Lepisosteus oculatus: one gene and its partner. The protein of the gene in region 2 interacts with the protein of the main gene of each other region in a pairwise test. Links are inferred from orthologs where the notes say so. Each region holds a gene or a part of one and is shown on either strand. Other genes may lie near its edges.

Evidence for each region.
Region 1: the proteins of cfap206 (region 2) and transcription factor SOX-30 interact in binary tests that used the Homo sapiens proteins (3 or more experiments, as listed by UniProt). The two-hybrid records come from large-scale screens. The link is inferred for Lepisosteus oculatus from reciprocal best matches to the Homo sapiens genes CFAP206 and SOX30.

Annotation. Positions count from the first base shown.
Region 1 is NC_090706.1:28,067,631-28,077,698, reverse strand, and holds the start of transcription factor SOX-30, read left to right. Parts: upstream 1-6,029; 5' UTR 6,030-6,542; coding exon 6,543-7,224; intron 7,225-8,221; coding exon 8,222-8,461; intron 8,462-9,492; coding exon 9,493-9,672; intron 9,673-10,068. UniProt on the Homo sapiens protein: Acts both as a transcriptional activator and a repressor. Binds to the DNA sequence 5'-ACAAT-3' and shows a preference for guanine residues surrounding this core motif. Binds to its own promoter and activates its own transcription.
Region 2 is NC_090697.1:8,348,503-8,358,487, forward strand, and holds the start of cfap206 (cilia- and flagella-associated protein 206), read right to left. Parts: upstream 4,029-9,985; 5' UTR 3,581-4,028; intron 3,570-3,580; exon of another isoform or gene 3,538-3,569; intron 3,515-3,537; exon of another isoform or gene 3,366-3,514; intron 3,317-3,365; exon of another isoform or gene 3,011-3,316; intron 2,886-3,010; 5' UTR 2,789-2,885; intron 2,409-2,788; 5' UTR 2,400-2,408; coding exon 2,292-2,399; intron 1,682-2,291; exon of another isoform or gene 1,526-1,681; intron 838-1,525; exon of another isoform or gene 784-837; intron 500-783; exon of another isoform or gene 316-499; intron 1-315. Other genes in the region: uncharacterized protein, read right to left, coding at 7,042-7,274, 8,042-8,175, 9,383-9,576. UniProt on the Homo sapiens protein: Essential for sperm motility and is involved in the regulation of the beating frequency of motile cilia on the epithelial cells of the respiratory tract. Required for the establishment of radial spokes in sperm flagella.

The DNA of each region.
Region 1 (10,068 bases), on a different chromosome or scaffold from region 2:
CGCTGAAGCTCAGCAGGTGTGAGCTTTCCCAGGAGGTCAGTACCTGGATGGGTGACCTCCTGGGAAAAACTAAGGTTGCTGTTGGAAGAGGTGTTAGTGGGGCCAGCAGGGGGCGCTCACCCTGCGGTCTGTGTGGGTCCTAATGCCCCAGTATAGTGACGGGGACATTATACTGTAAACAGATGCCATCCTTCGGATGAGATGTAAAACCGAGATCCTGACTCTCTGTGGTCATTAAAAATCCCAGGGCGTTTCTCGATAAGAGTAGGGGTGTAATCCTGAGTCCTGGGCAAATTTCCCATTGGCCTTTACCAATCATGGCCCTTACCAATCATGGCTTTCCAGTCACTTCATATCACTGAAGTGAGTGCCACTGGGCCGTAATCATTCAAACAAGTTATCTCGGTCTGCTTGGGCAGTGGCACGGTTGTTGTTCTCTTGACGCACTCTGGCACAACTGACAGGGACAGAGAGAGGTTAAAAAGGTCTGTATATACGGGAGAGACCTGACCTGCAAAGGTTTTAAGGACACGAGAGAAGACACCCTCTTAAAGGCTCTACACACCTCCGGAGACCTCTGACCCACTGCAGTGGAAAGAATCTAAAATTACGTTGTGGCAGCCTGCATCCTGTCTCACTAAAACCCACACAGCTATGACCAAGATAGCCTCACTTGTCACCGTTGACTGCCCACAGCACAGGACAAATGTGAAGCCCAGTGCGTCTGTGAGCTTGCCTCTTCTTGCCAAACACACTGTGAATAGCTGTATTTTACATTTTGGTGGGTAACAGAGACCACAAGCGTGCCCATCTTATCTTCTCTTGCCTCTACAGCAAGCTGATGACTCATGTGGCATCGCAGTTCTCCTCTAGCTACGTCTTCTACTGGAAGGACTATTTTGGGGACCAGGAGCTGAAGTATCCCCCTGGCTTTGATGGCAGGGTGGTGCTGTATCCTAGCAACCAGAACCTCAGAGACTACCTCAGCTGGAGACAGGCCGACTGTGAGTGCTCCCAGCGCTTCATTCTCCACCACCAGAGACTCTTTCGACTAAATAAAACATGTGAATGTTTTGTTTTCCATTTGAAAATTTTGCTCTGCAGATGGGTCGGCCCTGCTGTCTCACAGTGCTGGTGCCCTAGGTTCAATCCCTGGGATTGCTGTCTGTGTAGCGTTTGTATGTTCTCCCCAAGTTTGTGTGGGTTTCCTCCCACAGTCAGTAGATAGGCTGGTTCTGGGAAAACTGGCTCTGGTTTGAGTGTGAGTGTGTCCGTGTCCTGTGATGGACTGGTGTCCCATCCAGAGTGTTCCCTTCCCTTGTGCCTGTTGCTCCAGTTCCTCCGCGACGCTGTACTGGGTAAAGTGGAAAGAAGACAGCTCTACAAATGTTCAGCGACTGGAATCTCTTTGCTCTCTTGCTGGATTGTTTCTGTTTCTCACATCCTGAATCTCCGACCACTGTTTTGACTCGCGTGGTGCTCCTGTTTTCCAGGTCATATTAATAACTTGTACAACACGGTGTTTTGGACTTTGGTGCAGAAGGGTGGGCTGACCACATCCCAAGCAGAGGAGAGACTGAGGGTGAGAAGGTTTTTTGGGGTGTGTGTGTGTGGGCTAACTGGAGGATTGCTGTGCTTTCAAAGAGAGGGCTAGATTTCTGAAACAGCTGGTGTGACCAATAAAATAAAATAAAAAAATGTAATTCACTTCTAATTTAAATGTAAATTTAAATTAAAAATGTATTTTTTTTTCTAGCTTTAGAAAGCCACTTTTAGTGATTAATCATCTGAGACAAATTTATGACTGCAGTCACCTAACAAGCAGTACTTTATAATCCATGGTAAAGAATTAGCAGAATTTGAATTTTTATTCTAATTCTTACATGTTTATCTAAAGATGCTTATGGCGGTCCTTCTTGAGTTAAAACAGGACACCTCTCTAATTATTTTAGGAGTCATCAAAGCTTTTAATAAAATATAAAAATCACAAAGAAAACACAGAAGCTGTTTTAAGGTCTTCATACCACGTCAAAGGTAAATTCTTTAGAAGCAGGTTTCTGATTGGACACATCCTGTGTGTAATTGAATCCTTAGCTTTATTACGGGGCTTTATCACTCAGCTTCGCTTGTGGGACTTAATTACAACTCAGATACTGGAAAATAACAGGCCTGAACCGTAAACATCAGGTGATGACTCTCCACTGCGGTAAATACGCTCTGATCAGCACTTTCATCTTCTGGGCCTGAGTCGATATCTAGGACATTCATGCAGAATGCAGTTCAGCTTTTGTATAAAATTCTTCATAAAACCCAGAGCTGATAAGGGCCCTTATAGCACAGGAATACCCATGAAGAGGGATTGGCCTCCTTGTACAATTTTAGTGACATATGGTATCGTGCTAATTTATGTGTGTGTCTTTTGAAAAACAGAAAAGGCCTGGGAAATGCTTAGGACTTAAAACTGAAATCATGTGAAACAACGTCACAGTATTTTAACTTCCCTGCATGTTTTTACTTCTGTAACACAAAGGCTCGATGCTGTTCATCAGGTTTAAAAAACAGGATTCTAGTGTCTGGCGTTCAGTTTGCCGGCCATTGAAAAAAACCTGTAACGTGATCATTCAGCTGGGATGGGACTTTTTTGGGGTGGTCCATGATATTTTCAGATTTGATTTTTCTGGGCTGGGCTGGGCCATTTGAGTTGGCTTGTTGAGTTTTAAGATGTTCCAATTCTGGTAGTGCAGTGGTTTATTTATGTTTGTGTGTGGGGTGTACGATACCGCACTGGTTAGCATTGCTGCTTTGCAGTGCCGGGGCCTCTGGGTTCAGTTCCTGGGCTCTGTCTGTGTGGAGTTTGCATGTTCTCCCCATGTTAACATGGGTGTCCTCCGGATGCTCTGCTGTCCTCCCACAGTCTAAAGTCATGCTGGGAGCTTAATTGGCTTCTGGGAAAATTGTGTGTCTGTGTGTGTGTGCACTGTGATGGACTGGCATCCTGTCCAGGGTGTATCCCACCTTGTGCCCGTTGCTTGCTGGGATAGGCTCTGGCTCCCCCAATATATCTGTACTGGATAAAGCAGTTTAGAAGGTGGATGGATTCTTTTATCACACCACCTGGTGCCTGATGGTCTTGGCTACAGCAGCCAGTGCAAGATGGCGTTTGCTGGAGAGGTGCTGATGCTTTCCATTCATGTTTTTTAGGGCACTCTAGCAGCCGATAAGAACGAGATCTTGTTTGCAGAGTTCAACATTAACTACAACAACGAGCCTCTACTCCACAGGAAAGGCACAGCTCTGGTCTGGAAAAAGGTGAAATGCAAAGACAGCAAAGTCTTTCATGAAAACATGCCGTTTACATAATTCCTGTTTCTCCAAGATGATCCTTCATCTTTTGTCTTATCCAGTATTTGTGTCTGTTAGTCAGGAATGCATCTTGTGTGATACTGTGTGATACCGTTTTCATTCCTGTACACCAGAATAGCTGACCTGCATCGGGATATAGCAGTGTCTGCATGCGTGTAGTTAGATTTTAGGCTGCTTGGCTTTTCTGCATTTTGAACCCCCCCAAAAAGCGTAACTTTTTAACCCCATTTTTAAATGCATTCGAAGTTCAACGAAACCGTGACGAAACCAGTGAAACGTGCGAGCGAAGAGCAGGAGAAGGAGGTGGTGGTGACGCGCAGCCGGAGCAGAGTCGTCGCCCTGCATTGTGACATCATCGGGGACCAGTTCTGGCAGGAGCACCCCGAGATTCTGGAGGGGGAGAGCTAGCCAAGCACACACCTGACGGCGCACATTCCCCACGGGCTAAACACCAGCTCTGGCTGTATAATGGAAGGCCTGAGCAGAGGAGGGGTCACAAACAGGTGGAGCTGTTTATCTCTGGTGCCAGAAGGAAAGGAGGAGACGAGTGGTTTACCTAATACTCTGGCCTGGCTTTCCTTCAGCCCTGCTGTGTCAGCTGTGAAGTGCTTATCTACCCTGTTTTCTGCCCAGAGGTAGTTGTAACTGAAATTGGTGGGTTTTATAACCACAGGTGAAAAGATGGGTGTGATTTTTTCCATTTCACATGGAAAGAAATGGTGAACAAGTAAGCGCTTTAACTCCGCAGCAATTATATTACGTGGAAAAACAGTAGTAGTGATGGGCAGACCTAAATCTCAAGAAGGCATTCCATGATGAACATGAGCGCTGATCCAAAGCTGGGTCACTCTGTAGTCGCATCTCTGCTGTCTGTAATGTTGAATTAAGCTACACCTATGTCTGTACTTCATGCAGTTTTTAATAAAGCAGTGACTGGATTTGTATAGGGCTCTTGCATGGTTTTTTATATTGGTTTTATGTAGAATTTCTTCCTTTCAACTTCTCATTATAAGATCTTTTAAATGAGGTTGTGAGATATGTAAGCTACTAAAACAGCCATGTTTAGCTTTAGAAACCACCAGCTTCTTTTTTTCCTACATCCTGTATGTTTTGCCAGTGGTTTAGTTATATGGGGCGGCGTGGTGACGCAATGGTTAGCATTGCTGTCTCGCAGCGCTGGGTACAATTCTGGACCGGGGGACACTATCTTTGTCGCTGCGTGGAGTTTATGTGGTCTCCCTGTGTATGGGTTTCCTCCCACAGTCCAGACACATACAGGTAGCTTAACTGGTTTCTGGGAATAAGGGCCCTGGTGTGAGTGTTTGTGTGTATGTTTGTGTCTGTGTCTGCATCCCACCCAGTGTGCACCCCACCTTGCACCCATTGCTTGCCAGGGTAGGCTCCAGCTCCCCCACCACTCTGAATTAGAGCACAGAGCAAATGGATGCATGGTTTATCATGCATCTGTTATTGGAAACGCCTCCCACGTCAACAGCCAGTATTGGTGCTCGACGACCCTGGTGTCCCGGGTTCGAGCCCGAGTCCTGTCAGCAGCTGACCGAACACTGGCGAGGGTACGGTGGGGTAGGGCTCTCTCAGCTTCCTGCAAACGCAGCGCCGGTATGGGGGCAGATTGAAGGGGGCTGCCTGCGCTCCGTCGTCCCCTATGTGCACCCTCGGTGTCCACCCCTGCGTCTCGAGCTGTGAAAATCGCACAACTGGAGACTGGGGAATGCAGTGGGTGTAATTAAAAGCAACTGGTAGATGTTTTTAAAAACTAAACAGCTCAATTAAAGAGTAGAAGGAGGGTTGCAAATGACAGAAGGCCATTTGGTCCATCAAGTCTGGTGGTTAGGAGCTAATCAATCCAAGATTCCCCTCCAACTGGTTCTTAGAAGAAACCAGGTTTTCAACTTCAACAACATGGCTGGGCAGCATGTTCCACACTCCCACCACCCTCTGTGGAAAGAGGTGCCTCCTGTTCTCAGAGTTAAATGCTCTTCCTTGTGGTTTCCCCTGGTCCCTATTTTACTGGTGATTCTGAAGATGTCCTCTGGGTTGACTGTCAGTGTGTCTGAGGACTGTGGATTCTCCACGTACTCTTCTCGGTTCAAGAAAAAAAAAAACAAAGGAAAACCACTTATTGTTGGAGAGGCCTGTGGTCCAGAGGTGGGACTGCCTTCTGAATGGGACACCAGTCCATCAAGGTGGCAATTTAGAGACCCCCAGCTGACCCAAACACACGGCTGTGGAAGGTGGGATGACTTTCTAGCACCAGGGGGAACATGCAGGCTCCACACAGAAGGTACTCCAGTCTGGAATCAAACCCAGAACCCAGGAGGAGTGAGGCAACAACACTACCCACTCCACCACTGTGTTGCACGACAGTGGTTCACACATAATTATCAGTTAACCTAAAAAGTGCATTTCTAAAACACTCAAACAAAAACACTTTTTAACGTCTTCCTGCACAACTATGCGATTTTATTCACGGATCCTGTGAGCTGTCTCGAGTCCCAAACGATTCAGACCAGATAAAAAACGGAAAGTTATTAACTTTTATTTTCATTTAACTAAAAGACACTGATATCGTGTCTTAACTCTACCATCACTCAATACAATTTATTAGCTTCAAAAATCTCTTCAGGCACAGCAGTCATTAAAAAAAAAACATCCTCCTTGCGTATTCACACGTGTGCAAGATGCGTGGGGTATCTGAACGCATTTCAGCTCCCACGTGTTTCAAGGGCAAAGGGGTCGCTCTGAATCCCGGGAAAGAATCCGTCGCGGATGTGAAGTCCAGATGAATGACTGGTGTTCGTGTTAGGGTGTCATTTTGATTGTTCTGATTTCGAGCGGGGTGAGAGGGTGTGTGATAGTTAAAGGGGTTATAAGACTTCTGTCACATACGGTTCGTGAGAGAAACGCTGTTTTAGCGACGACGGATTCAGTTCGTGAAGGTGAACCATGGCAACCTTTTGACGTCTCGCGGGTCGCCGCGGTCCCTATTGTGACAGCCGCTGCGCGTCGCGCCTGCAAGCCAATAAAAGACCCCCCCCTCTCTCTCGCGCCGGCAAGGTGTCCGTTTTGAATTCCGGCCGTTCCAGCCGCTGTCTGTCAACGGAAAGGGACTAAGGAGCGACGTTGAGATCACAATTAAACCCAGCCGGAGGCCCGCAATGGACACACGCCCAGGACCCGGGGCAAAACCAGCAGCGTCACCCGCCACAAGGAGTGAAAATCGCTTCAGAAAGGAAAACAAAAGCCAGGCGCGCCAGAGCCGCTCCGGCTGCCCCGGAAAACCCCAAAGTGACGAGTCCGGCCGGAAAGAGGAGCAAGTTAAGACCGAGGCAGGCGGGCCCTGTGAATTACGTGTCCAAACGGTCCCCAGGCGGGAAGATATACCGGTCATTTTTAAAGCGGAGAGGTCCTCGAGTGGGAAAACCGTGGTGGGAGTGGCGGTGAAAGAGAAAAGGAGGAGAAGTGCAAACGGGGACGATGGAGGAGTGAAAACCGAGGAGGGCCGAGTGGCGGAAGGCGTGGGTCACCCCCGCGCTGGGCCGACTCCCAGCGGCCAGAAAGGAGAGAAGAGCGACGGGGCTTTCGCGACGCCTCGACCGCTCCCGCCCGAGGACACGGAACGGGTCCCGCCCAGCGGCGCGGCGGCGGCGGGGCGGGGAGGAGGCGCGGCCCCGGCGGTCCTGCACCACAGCTTCCCGACGGCCTTCCTGACCGCCGAGCCCATCCGGCTGAGCAGAGTGCCCTTCCCCGCTCTGCCCATCGCGCTGCAGCCGCTGGCGCACACCTCCGTGAAGGTGGAGACCAGAAACGTGCCGCTCACCCTCCCGCCGTCGGAGTCAGGTAACTCCGCGCCCGAGGTCACGCAGGGCTGCAGAGGGGACAGCTGGCTTTGACACTGTCTCCGCTAATGTAGGGATTTTTGAAATGCTCTGATTTTTTTTCTATACTTATGTGCAAAAGCATTAAACATAACATTCGCGATCAATAAGAGCCTACGATACAGAGAGAACGTTTTTTTTTTCAGATTCAGCGCAGTGTGTTTTTCAATTATTCAAACCCCCATTTCTTTTCTGTAGGTCAGTTCAGTTTATTCTACAATGTATTTTACTAGACGTCTACACAGAAGTAGATCATGTTTATGACTAGCTGGATAACGTTCCATGCTTTCACCCAGCAGAACATGCTCCTTATATTGTGCAGATAAAGTTGCAGATTGTGCAGATATAGTTTTAGTTACATATTTCTTGTATGCCAAGATTTCAGTAAGTTTCAAGGAAGCATCATAAAAAGTGTCTGTTGGAACATAAGGCTGCTGCTGGAAGAGGTCTTAGTGGGGGGCCAGTAGGGGCCACTCATCCTGTGGTCTGTGTGGGTCCTAATGCCCCAGTATAGTGATGGGGACACTATACTATAAAAGAAAAAAGACGTTTTCCTTTGGATAAGATATAAAACTGAGGTCCTGGTTCTCTGTGGTCCTTAAAAATTCCACATCGTATCTCAAAAAGAGTAAGGGTGTAACCCCAGTGTCCTGGCCAAATTTCCCCCTGGCCAGTCATGGCCTCCTAATAATCCCCATCAATGAACTGGCTTCATCAATCTGCTCTCCTCCCCACTGATAGCTGGTGTGTGGTGAGAGTACTGGTGCACTATAGCTGCCGTCGTATCATCCAGTTTGGGGCTTCACACTGGTGGTGGCGGAGGGGAGTCCCCATTACCTGTAAAGCGCTTTGAATGGAGCGTTCAGAAAAGTGCTGTATAACTGTAACGAGTTCCACCTTTCCTATGGAGAAAGTGACCTCCAGACTTTGAGCCTGCCCGTGATCGATTCTCTTAATAGGGGATTTTCAGATTCCTTGCTGTAAGGAGCGAAACGGACACATCAAGCGCCCCATGAATGCCTTCATGGTGTGGGCCAGGATTCACAGACCTGCTCTGGCCAAAGCCAACCCCACCGCTAACAACGCGGACATCAGCGTGCAGCTGGGAGTGGAGTGGAACCGGCTGTCCGAGGAGCAGAAGAAGCCTTACTACGATGCGGCGCAGAGGATCAAAGACAAGCACCGAGAGGAATTCCCTGGTGAGTGAGAGATGGAGCCAGCCGAAGCACAGCAGATTTGAAGCAATCAGCACAGCTATTTTTACAAGTCCAAGCGCTGCTAATTTATTGGGCGCACGTCGCTGCCAGTTTTCATGTGGTAGAAGTAAAAGAGTATTTTTGGCTCTTACTCTTGTTATCCTGACACTATCAGGGGAAGTGCTCGACTCCTTTCCCACATTCATGCACACATATCACTGCTAGTGATCACTGGTGTGATTAAAGCTTTTTTAGCCTTCCCTCAAATCATCTGCTTTCTATCTGCATGCAACGGTCAACTCAGACTTCATGAGTTCTTATTTGTTCTTCACAAATTCCAGATTTTAGATAAATGAATAACTGAAAAGCATTCAGTTCCTGTTGATGCAAAGGGAGATGTGCCAGTAAGCAACAAGAGGGTTGTACAGACTTCATGCTGAGCCAATCTGCTGTTTTTTCCTATCCATGCAGTGAGTTGGTGTTGAGATGGAAATAGTTTTAAATTATAAGAGGATTATGTCAAGGAGCATCAGGCACGCATACTGGAGAAAGTGACACTCTTTCAATTTCATACTTTATCACTGCAGTCATCTTAAATTGAAAATAGCTGTCCATGATACCTAGAAAGCTAGGTTTGTAACACTTGAACTTGAGTGTAGAAGATTGTTCTTCTATTCATTCTTTTATTCTTGATCCAAAATGTAATTACTTTTTTTTTTAAATGGAGTAATATAGTGAGTTCATTGTTTTTGGATAAACCCTAATCACAAACGAAGATTCTGTGTCTGTGTTGCCATCACGGCCATAGTGGAATAAGGCCATTCATGGTGACAATGTTCATACACACTAACCGAATCTTGGTGCAGTTGTTTAATCTCCAGAAAGAAAACATGGAACACAAGATGGTATTCTAACAAGGAGTTCAGTCCAGAAAGAAAAGATCTATAGCTGCCATCCGAACTGATTCGTGTCTCTGATATGTCATCTAATCTAATTGGTCTAATCTTTCAATGATGGTGCTCCTGTTTTATTAGGTTGGGTTTATCAGCCAAGACCAGGGAAGAAAAAGTGCTGCTACCCCCCTGGTATCATGCCGTCCTCAGTGCCTGCTTCCTCGCAGAGCTGTACACCCACAGCTGTGGCCGCTGGTCCGGCTGCCTGCTCCATGGCTGCCCCAGTGGTACACATAGGCTCCAGCTACCCCTCGCCTGCAGGTGAGTGCAGGGAAATGGAAAGACACGGGCTTGCTGTGACTCTGGACCTTCCCAATAAGCAACCCAACTGGCGTTTTAAAAGCACCTGGCTTTTGGCATTGTTTTGAAAACAAAGCGCAACATCTTCTGTAGAAATTCAATATTTTCTTGCGGCACTAGAAAAAGAAAAGATGCATTCCTAATGTTTTTTTTTTTAAATACGTTCTATGAAACAAAGCAATGTTTGTTCCACTTACAGTTCACTGTTAGATAGTGTGGTGATAAAAATACCCTTAAGAGTTCATGGTTGAACATAGATATATTTGACCATCCCCAAGTCCCCAACAAGTCCTAATAGGAGATAAAACTAACTCATTTGACAAATAACACACCGTACTCCTTGATTTATTTTTAAAA
Region 2 (9,985 bases):
AATAATAAACACTTCAGGAGATGTAGCAACAATGTCAATAAATAAATAAACACAAATTTGCCTAACTCTTAATATATCCATCTATTTTCTAAACTGCTTTATACAGTACAGAAGGCGAGTCAGAGCCGATCCGAGCAAACAGTGGAAGTAAAGCAGGATACACCTGGATGGGCAGACACACAGACACAAACACACACAATCACACCAGGAGCAATTTACAGAAGCCACTGAACCTGCCAGTACAGTATGTCTTCTGACTTTGGGAGGAAACCAGAGCACAGGATAAAAACACAAATAGGCAGACAGGGAGAGAGGAACAGACTGAAAAGAAATAGCTGGAAAGAGGAGAAGTGTTTGAAAGGACTTTGTTTGAATCAACCCTAAAGACCAGATTCTAGCTAAATATCTGAACCTTGTTAAAGAGAGCTTGCAATTCCATTCTTAAGGGAACTCTTATTGATAGAGATGGAATAGGGAGTTATATGGACTTATAGAATAGGTAGGTTACCATTCACTTTGGATCATCCAGATTTATAGGAGGGCTCCATTTTGTATTCTGTTTTATTTAGGTTTAACTTTCTTTTTGGCCTGTAACCCATTATAGGACTTCTGAGTACTTGATTAGCATTCTGGGTGATCAGGATGTAGACACCTTGTTTGTAAACAGAATAAGTTGTACGTTGTGCTGTGTGTTGTTTAGTTTGTGTTATTTTCATTGTTAATAAATATTTGTTAATCCCAGATTGCCTCTGATGAATTACTCTTTCATCACTCTTTCATCAGAGCTGAACCCAAGAACAAAGAACTCAAGTACATCTAACTATACCAACCACTTGGGTAAGTTCTAACATCTTTATAATTTGGGGTTCATAATTATTTATTTTAATTATTGTTTACCCCCCTCTATTTTGCACTTTTAACTTGTAACTGCCTATTAGTAATAATAATGTGGCAATCCCTATGTTTCTCAGTTCTAACTAGGATACGCAACCCAGCCTAAAAGCTGAACAGTTCCATTTTTTTCCTTTATGTCATCGTGAGCTTCACCTTTCTGTGCTAATTGCAGTTCTGGTGAGACAAAAACTGTATTTGTACTTTATCCAACCACATCATGTGGTCCCATTTCACTTGGGAGTTACCTAGTTTCTGTTTGGCCATTTTGAGTCTTTCTATGTTGTCCTGGAGCTCTGCCACATACTGTACCACAGATTCATGAGCAGACCCTTAAATGGCAGACTTCAAAATATTGTCTTGATGACGCCTGGGCGTTTTGATGATTCCCAGTTGTTGTGTCTGAATGTAAGTTATTCTCCCAAAACACTTTTCTGACCACAGACATAGGCAGAAGCTTTGTTCTCTTCCTGGTAGGGCAGCAACCATCACATAAGCCACAAATATCATGTTATTTTTAGACCTGTTGATGCAAATCTTTTACCTTTGCTCTTTTGACAATATTCTGGCTTTGCTAATGGCAATCTGATAATCAGTCTTTTACATCTGTGTCCTCCACACTTTTAATACGCAGGGGCAAACAGACTGACGTCAAGACGTTTCAAGAAGTGTCTAGAAACATTTGAGCTTTGTGAGAATACCAGATGACTGAAAACAAGAGAGAACTGAATATGCAGCAATTATTTTGTATACCTTTATGGGGTATAAATAAATTTGGATATTGTGCATTTAGAAGTGTTATTATCTTTCCAGTGTTGCTACTGATGCATCTAGTACCACTTTTCACAATTATATCACATTCTAATTCAGAATTTGTGATCAAACATGATGTATACTGAAAGGTTTGAGCAGTCCAGGCCAAACACCTAACCATGAACTCGCGGAACACTAGCACACTAACAAGCACGAGAAAAATACACTAACAGGGAGCACAAGGAAAGGAAAAACAAGGAAGTGTTTCTGAGAGGTAGCAGACAGGACATGCTTGACTAGTTAAGCTGAGAAGCTGCGTCAGCACGCGTAGGCTGCAAAGGAACAAGTAAAGGTTTATTCCGTGCTGATAAGAGAAGAAAAAACACAATGTTTCGGCCGTGGAGCCTTTTTCGGGTGTCATAACTTGATATACTGTTACACATGTTCGTTTTTGTTTTTAATACCAAAAAACGCATACCAGTATAATTCCCGTATAAATAAAATCAATTTTAGTTGTTAAAGGTTGAGCATCCTGGACTTTTTCCAGAGCCCTGCTCATGTTTATGAAAGAGAATAAATGGCTTTTTACCCTGTACTGCTCCTATTGATTTCCAGTTCCGCCAGATTTGTCCATGCACAATTCTTACCATAAAAGCCACCAGTGTTTCGGACACGGCCTGTCCTTTGCCAGCACATTCTTGAGCAATTTCACGAATAATGTTTTTGATGACACTCTCAGCCTGTGCGCGTGACATCTTCAAGAGCTACCGCAAGGAAAAAAAAAAAGTTTACAACTATTTTCGCTTTGATTCAACAAAACAAGTTCCATTGCATTTGAACAGATTCGCCTTGCGGCTTTGGTATTATTGCAATAATTATTTTTACTCTTTTTCCCGTACTACTGTATATCTGAATGATGTATTTTCGGAATTTATGCATTTATACAGTATTTATCCATGAATACTTGGTTAATTGCACTGGGTAAAGGCATCTGCGAAGAATATAACATGGGAATGACCATCTTTGTGAACATTATGGCCGTATTCCCACAACAATATACAATAATACGTCAGGACCAGGAAACAGCTACAGACATTAAGCAATTTTTTTCATTAGTGCTGAATAAAACTCTACATTTCCCCACTTAGGCTGATTCTTCTGCTAAATGTGGCTTCTCGACTCGAGACGAGGTTCGTTTGATGTGTTTTGAAGCCAATTCAAGGTTGTGCGCGACTCATCACCTAGTGAGGATAAAAAAACTAGTTTTAGGTACCGGTCTGGACATCTTATTCCTTCTTCACGGAAATGAACATTTATATTCATAGATGTCATAAACTGTATTTGTGTTTAATGCATCAAACATCACCTGTTTAGCACATATATATTGGGAGTCTCCTGTTAAACGCAATCGGGAACCATGAGCAGGTGGCCAAGCCGGCTCTTGTGATTAACGTACATGTTCGAGAATAAGGTCGAGTGTTTGTCTCTAAAGCGCGTAAAGAAACACAAACCATATGTTACATATCGCCAATATAAACAGAGCTACGACGTTTCTTTTTATTGATGACATTAATTTATGTTTTTAAGTTAAAAAAATAAAGCCTACATTTCGACACGACTCATCGAGTCCAAAGTGCCAAGTGTCCTGGCATGCAAGAGATCAGCACTTTTGAGTATTTGGTGTGCATTGTTTGATTGCAATAGAAAAACTGGAAACAGACCAAATGACTGTAACCTCCCGGCCGCCACGATTTATCCCACACTTTACAAAAAAGGTTACAGTCACTTGAAAATCCCTCGTTAAAACTAAAGCAAAATAACATTATAACAGCCCCATGGGTCGGTATAGCAATGTGAAACATGTATGATATGGAAAAAAAACTGCAGACGAACATTTCTAAAGCGGAAAACAAACTTTAACGCCGGTTCGCCCTACCTGGTCTCTGCAGCAGGTCCCCTGTTTACTGGACGGTTGCTATGGCTACCTAGCAAGAAGTTTTTTTTTGTCGACTCCGTTCTCATCCTTTAATGTAGAGCTTTACAACGATTATAGCAATAAAATACTCATTACAGATTTGTACTGCGTTGCGAGTTGAAAACCATTAGAAAATCTGGGAACTGAATGAATGAAACCCTACGTAAAAGCGTATATTCCGCTTGTAAACGTTGAACCTTACCGTGAAGCGACATATACCTGTAGCAGCAGCATGTTTGTACTATTCAACTGCACGCTACTTCAATATCTGCGAAGAGACTATACAAATTTAGCGTATTTAGTCGGACTATCGGAAGTTATAAACCTCCCCCCACCCCAAATTATCCACTTCCCGAGTCCGTAGTAAGATGCTATCATTCTCGGAGAAGTGAAAGACCCCCTAGTAAAACAAACTGGTATACACGCAAATATGTACAGTAGATATAAAAGAAGGGTACCGCCTGTTTCTACACGACGGATATCTTTCAAAACTTATTCATGGCAAATTAAACGGAGGAATTAGTCAACAAAATCTACTGTATATAACTATTTAAAAACATAACAGAAACTCTACCCGTCTTTTTCCAGAATGTCTTCGAGTACCAAGATTACAGAGATGTACTATTTTTGTACTACGTTTTAAATTGCAATAAAAAAAAAAAAAACAAGCGTAATGTGCCAATCATTACTTTACCCTACTGGAAAATACATTAAACGCATTTAGCTGTCTCTGCCTTTGTTCCCGTTATTCTTGCTAAGTGTTTTTTTTTAAATCAATTTTATGAGAAAGTGAAAAAATAGAACTATTTACAGAATTTAATTCACTATTTGCAGATTTCTTTTATTCCAAATGATCCCCACTCTTCAAGTGCCATGTGAGCCACTTTGCACTTTTGAATGACATACCACTGAAGCACAGCTCTCACCTGGGTCACATGCATCAGTCTTCTGCACCAGCAGGTACCCGGCTATATAATATATAAGCAACCATGACTCGGGCTCCATAAGGAATCTGGGTTCATTTTAATGACTAAAAACACCTCTTGTAGGTGCACAATTTCTTTACTACATCTACCATACTTTCACACAAAAGCTGTAGCACCCTGAACACAACTGGCACCCCACTGAAGCGCAGCTTGTGTGAGCCTGGTCAGTACCTGGATGGGAGATCTCCTGGGAAAGCTAAGTTTGCCTCTGGAAGAGGTGTTAGTGGGACCAGTAGGGGGTGCTCACCCAGCAGTCTGTGTAGGTCCTAATGCCCCAGCAGAGATGGGGACACTCCAGTGTAAAAAATAAAAGCATTATCCTTCAGACGAGACATAAAACTGAGGTCTTGACTCATTAAAAATCCCAGTTTTTCTCAAAAAAAAGAGTAGGGTGATACCCTGCTGTCCCAGCCAAATTTCCCATTTGCCTTTACTGATAATGGCCTCCTAATAATCCCCATCTGTGAATTGGCTTCATCACGGTTCTCCTCCCCACTGAGAGCTGGTGTGTGGGGAGTGCACTGGAGCACTGCCTGCTGTCGCACCATCCAGGTGGGCCTGCACATTGGTGGTGATGGAGGGGAGGCCCCATTATCTGTAAAGTTATTTGAGTGGAGTGTCCAGAAAAGCACCATGAGTGCAATAGTATTATATAAAATAGGATACATTTATGTGCACCAATCAGTGCTTAAAGATTGCTATACTCTACTGGGTAATGATAGATCCTTCTGAAGAAAATTCTGAAGAAAATAAATATTTATTATAAAAATACAGATATTATACATTCGCACAGTATATTTGTTTTGTACAAACGATAGTGGAGGTCTGGTAACCTGAGGAAATGCATTGATATTTTAAAAATCTGGACTCCTGGATGAATCAATTTAAGGCTACCACAGACGTTTACCCATTGCCAAGGAAATATATTTTTGGAAAAGCTTACGGATACACTTTAGCTATAGATGCCCTTAAGTGTTACTTTACTTTTTCTAAATTATGGGAAACAATATAATATTAAGAAGTCATGATAGCCATTCTAAATTAAAGCATTTATGTAACATTTTTCCTTTTGTGCCTGGTTTAAAACCTCAACAGCATAGACCTCAGATTCTAAGGACAGGTCTGAACAGTGCTAATGTCTGGTCACCTTTCACAACCATTTGGTCAACATTCAAAGATTCAGGTAGTAAAACATCCTCAATCTGAACATCGGTGGTCAACTGTACCTCAATAAGAAAATGGTGCATTTAGGCTGAAGAAAGTATAAACTCAAAGTGCTTTAAAAACCAGAAAATGTCAAAGACCGAAATCTACTTGTCCAAATTGCATACAAAAATCTTAATTCCGTGGAGAATGACCATAAAGCACTACTTAAGCCGTTTAGGGAAGATGTTTAGATTCAATTACTAACGATGCCTAGGCAGATCCTTTTTCAATAGGAAATACCTTACCATAAGGCAATTTAATAAATGCCATTTCCTGCAATACAAATGATAAAGTTGTTAGCATTAAAGGAAAATGTACATTCCTGTCCTGTGTGTCGGATCACTTGCCCAGAATTAGCTAAGGACCCATCTGTCTTTCAAGCAGCAAGTAAACATTGAGAAGACAACACAAAAAAACATTTAAAAATGAATTAAGAGAAAAATAACATTTCCAAATGGCTTGGTGCACTAAAAGACAGTCTTACGTCCTTAACACATAAGTGGACAACAGATATTTAACATATAGAAATGAAAAAAAACAGTGACGTTAATAAAGGCATCAGATCCATTCCCCCATTACATTTATTCATTTGGGCCCAGTCTGTTCAGACTAAGGTTATGTTTAAAGATTAAACCACTGTAATTAAAACTACTGGGGCAATGACCAGACATACCAGGAGTTTCAGAGATCAGCTTTTCATGCCAAGTTCAAGCTTTATTTGTACTTGGTTTAACTGCAAAGACTTAAAAACAGCCTTCTTCAAAATAACAGTAACATTGCTTATGTCCTGTCTAGTCCAAGAGAAACTAGCCTGTGATGCTGGTGGCAAAATTAGCTCTCAACGAATCTATCAAGTAACTAGACAGTTTCAATGAACAAGCCTTTTCACAGTATCAAGTGCACCTTCCATTTTATTGCAATTAATCTTCTTAAAATAATTAGCAGCATGTTTAAATAACTTGTTAAACGGGTGCTGAACCCCTCTAGTTTATAGCCCTTGTCAAAGAACCTTCCACCACTTTGAGCTTGTTCACCAAAAAAATCACATGGAACATTTTTGCAAAGTTAAAACCCGATAAACAGGACAAAACCTGCTCTACCAGCAGAACAAGCAAATCCCTGAACACTTTTCGGTAGGACATTTAAAATAAGAAAAATATGGCACTATTAAAATCTCTGTATAATACAAAATTGCACTTGAAGAAGATGAGAGGCCCACTTGGGTGAGGCTCAGAAACACTTCCTGAAGACGACCTGGGGGCCGAACTCCTCGTACTCGGCCTGGGTGATCCACGCCGTGGAGAAGGAGGGGAGGCTGGCCAGGGCGGCGCCCCCGCGCCACACCGCGCAGTCCCTGTCCTCGGGGCTCACCACCCGCACGCTGTCCCACAGCTCCGCGGGCGCCATGGCGCCAATCTCCTCCCGCAGCCGCGGTGCCAGGCCGGCCAGGAGCGTGTTCCCGCCTTCAACCAGAGCACACACACACACACGCGCACGGCTGTTAGTCACCTCGAGGCACCGCGCACGAGCGAGGGGAAAATAAAAAAAACTCAGCGGAAAGCACCAGTCATTACTGGACCCTACTGGAAAACACATTCAACTCATTTAGCTGTTTCTGGCCTTTTAAAAAAGTGTTTATTTTAAAAAAATCTGTTTTATGAGAAAGTGAGATGGAAAAAATGAAACTATTTTTACAAGTTAACCCACTATTTTATTTTATTTTTATTGCAAATGATCCCCAAACACGCTGCAAGTGCCAGTGAGCCACTCTGCACTTTTGAATGACATACCACTGAAGCACAGCTCTCACCTGGGTCACATGCATCAGCCTTCTGCGCCAGCAGGTACCCGGCTATATAATATATAAGCATCCATGACTCTGGCTCCATAAGGAATTTGGGTTCATTTAATGACTAAAAGCACCTCTTGTAGGTGCACAATTTCTTTACTGCATCTACCTTACTTTTCACACAAAAGCTGTAGCACCCTGCAACTCCCAACTGCCAGCCCACTGAAGCTCAGCAGGTGTGAGCCTGGCCAGTACCCCGGACGGGAGACCTCCTGGAAAAACTAAGGCTGCTGCTGGAATCTCATATACCCTTATAAGACCCGCTTTTAACATGCCAGCCTGCGTAGCGTTCAGGCGGGCTAAGCTATGTCGCTCAGCCATCTAATGTTGCACATGCCTGATGAAAGGCCGGAGCCCGTTGCAACAAAGAAAGCGAATTACCTGACAGAATAATATTTCCCACAAAGCTTTTCCGGAGGTCGATGTCGCAGCGCAGAATGGAACGGAAGATGGCCTCGTGCATTCCATAGTGGTCTCTTCCAATCAGTCCTGGTCTGAAAAGAATTTCAGGGGCTCTGTTAAAAGAAAAAAAAACTATTAGACCCGACAAAGTTCTGACCTGCAGCCACATAAGCAGCAATGTTTCAGCCTGATCTTTCAAACAGGTGGCAGCTCCAGGCTGGGAACCAGTCCAGGCTTTGTGGTTTGAGGCTTGCATCATGTTGTCAGAGGACTGTAGTCAGAATACAGCTGCACTTTTCTAAAGAAATTCCACGAGGTCCTCATTCCACCAGTGTTAATCAACACCTGAATTACAAGCAGATAAACTTGTCTGGATAGCCTTTTTTCCTTGAAAATTGCTTATAAGTCATATAACACTTCTGCTTATACTCATTCAATAATAATAAAACTTAAACCCTACAAAGCTTTGACCTGCAGCTCCATAAGACTGGTTCAGTTTGATCTTGAAGTGGTTGCAAGCTGCTGGTTTTTGGATATACTGTATGAATGTATATCCAATGTGTAGCCAGAAGAGATAAGGGAGACATCTGGGAGGTGAGAATATCATTTTTGTATTTTTGCAAACTATGCAGTCTAGTGGCTTGTAGTTGGCTTTGCACCCAAATATACAAAGATGCTGCCCGTCCTTGGTCAGTAGGATTAAAGGGCATCTATGAGGTACTGTAAGCTGGCTGTGTGCCCAGAACATATGAAAGGAACTAACTTTTGTCTAGTCTGCAACTTAGATATGATTAATAACAAGATTGGCATGTGTTGTCTGATCATTCGTTCAGAATGTTGTAGTAACTTGTTTGTTTTTGCGGTATAAAAGACCATCTTTAGCTACTTATTTTTTAGTTCAGTGGCTCCAAGCCCTTCTTCCATATGCATATAAAAAGAGATACAGTACTCCTACTACACAGACACTTGGACTTTGTCATTCGGATGACAACACCAGTTTTCAACCAAGGTGGTGTCATTTTTAGGACCTTTCACATGAAATGATTCATTATCTAAAGCTGCGGCTTGCTCCGAATGCACACTAACATCCCATGTCCTGACTATGGAATCTTTACTGTACACAGGCTCAAAACTGCAGAATTTCATCCCTCCAAGTTGAAACTGACTTGAGATGTACCCAGCCACCAGCCATTTAAGCTGTGCTTTCCCCCTCCCACAGCCTACGAGCAGGAAACCGTGCCACAGTGCCAAGGGTCTGAAGACAAGCCTATTATAAAGGGCTCAGGAGAGAGCCAGCGTGTTACCGGAGAGCACACTTACCTGAACCTCTCTGTGCCTAAACTGATGACCCGCCCGTCGGGCAGTGTGTACGACATGTCCACGCCGGCGGCCCTCCTCGCTCCGTTCAGCTCGGCCTCGTAGTCCCGAGCCACACAGCAGCACCTCTCCTTGATCTCCCGCACAATCTCGAGCTCCGCCGTGGTGCGGAAGGCGAACCCTCTCTCCTGCAGCAGCTGTAGGGGCACAAGACCGTATCATTCCTTAGACCTGCGTAGCGCCTTTCTGGGCACTCCAATCAAAGGACTTGACGGGTAATGGGGATGCCCACCAATGTGTGCAGCCCCACCTGAATGACACACCAGCCCGCTCACCACACACCAGCTCTCAGTGCGGAGGAGAACAGAGTGATGAAGCCAGTTCAGAGATGGGGATTATTAGGAGGCCATGACTGGTAAACTACAGCAGGAAATTTGGCCAGGACACCAGGGTTAACATTCCTATTCTTTTCAAGAAGCACCCTGGGATTTGTAATGACCACAGAGAGCCAAGGCCTTCACTGTGAAGTTACAAAGGCATGAATCGGCAGGTGGTTTTGGGGAGTTAATAGCTTCTGCGGCCTTTTCCACATCGTTAGCTCAGCTG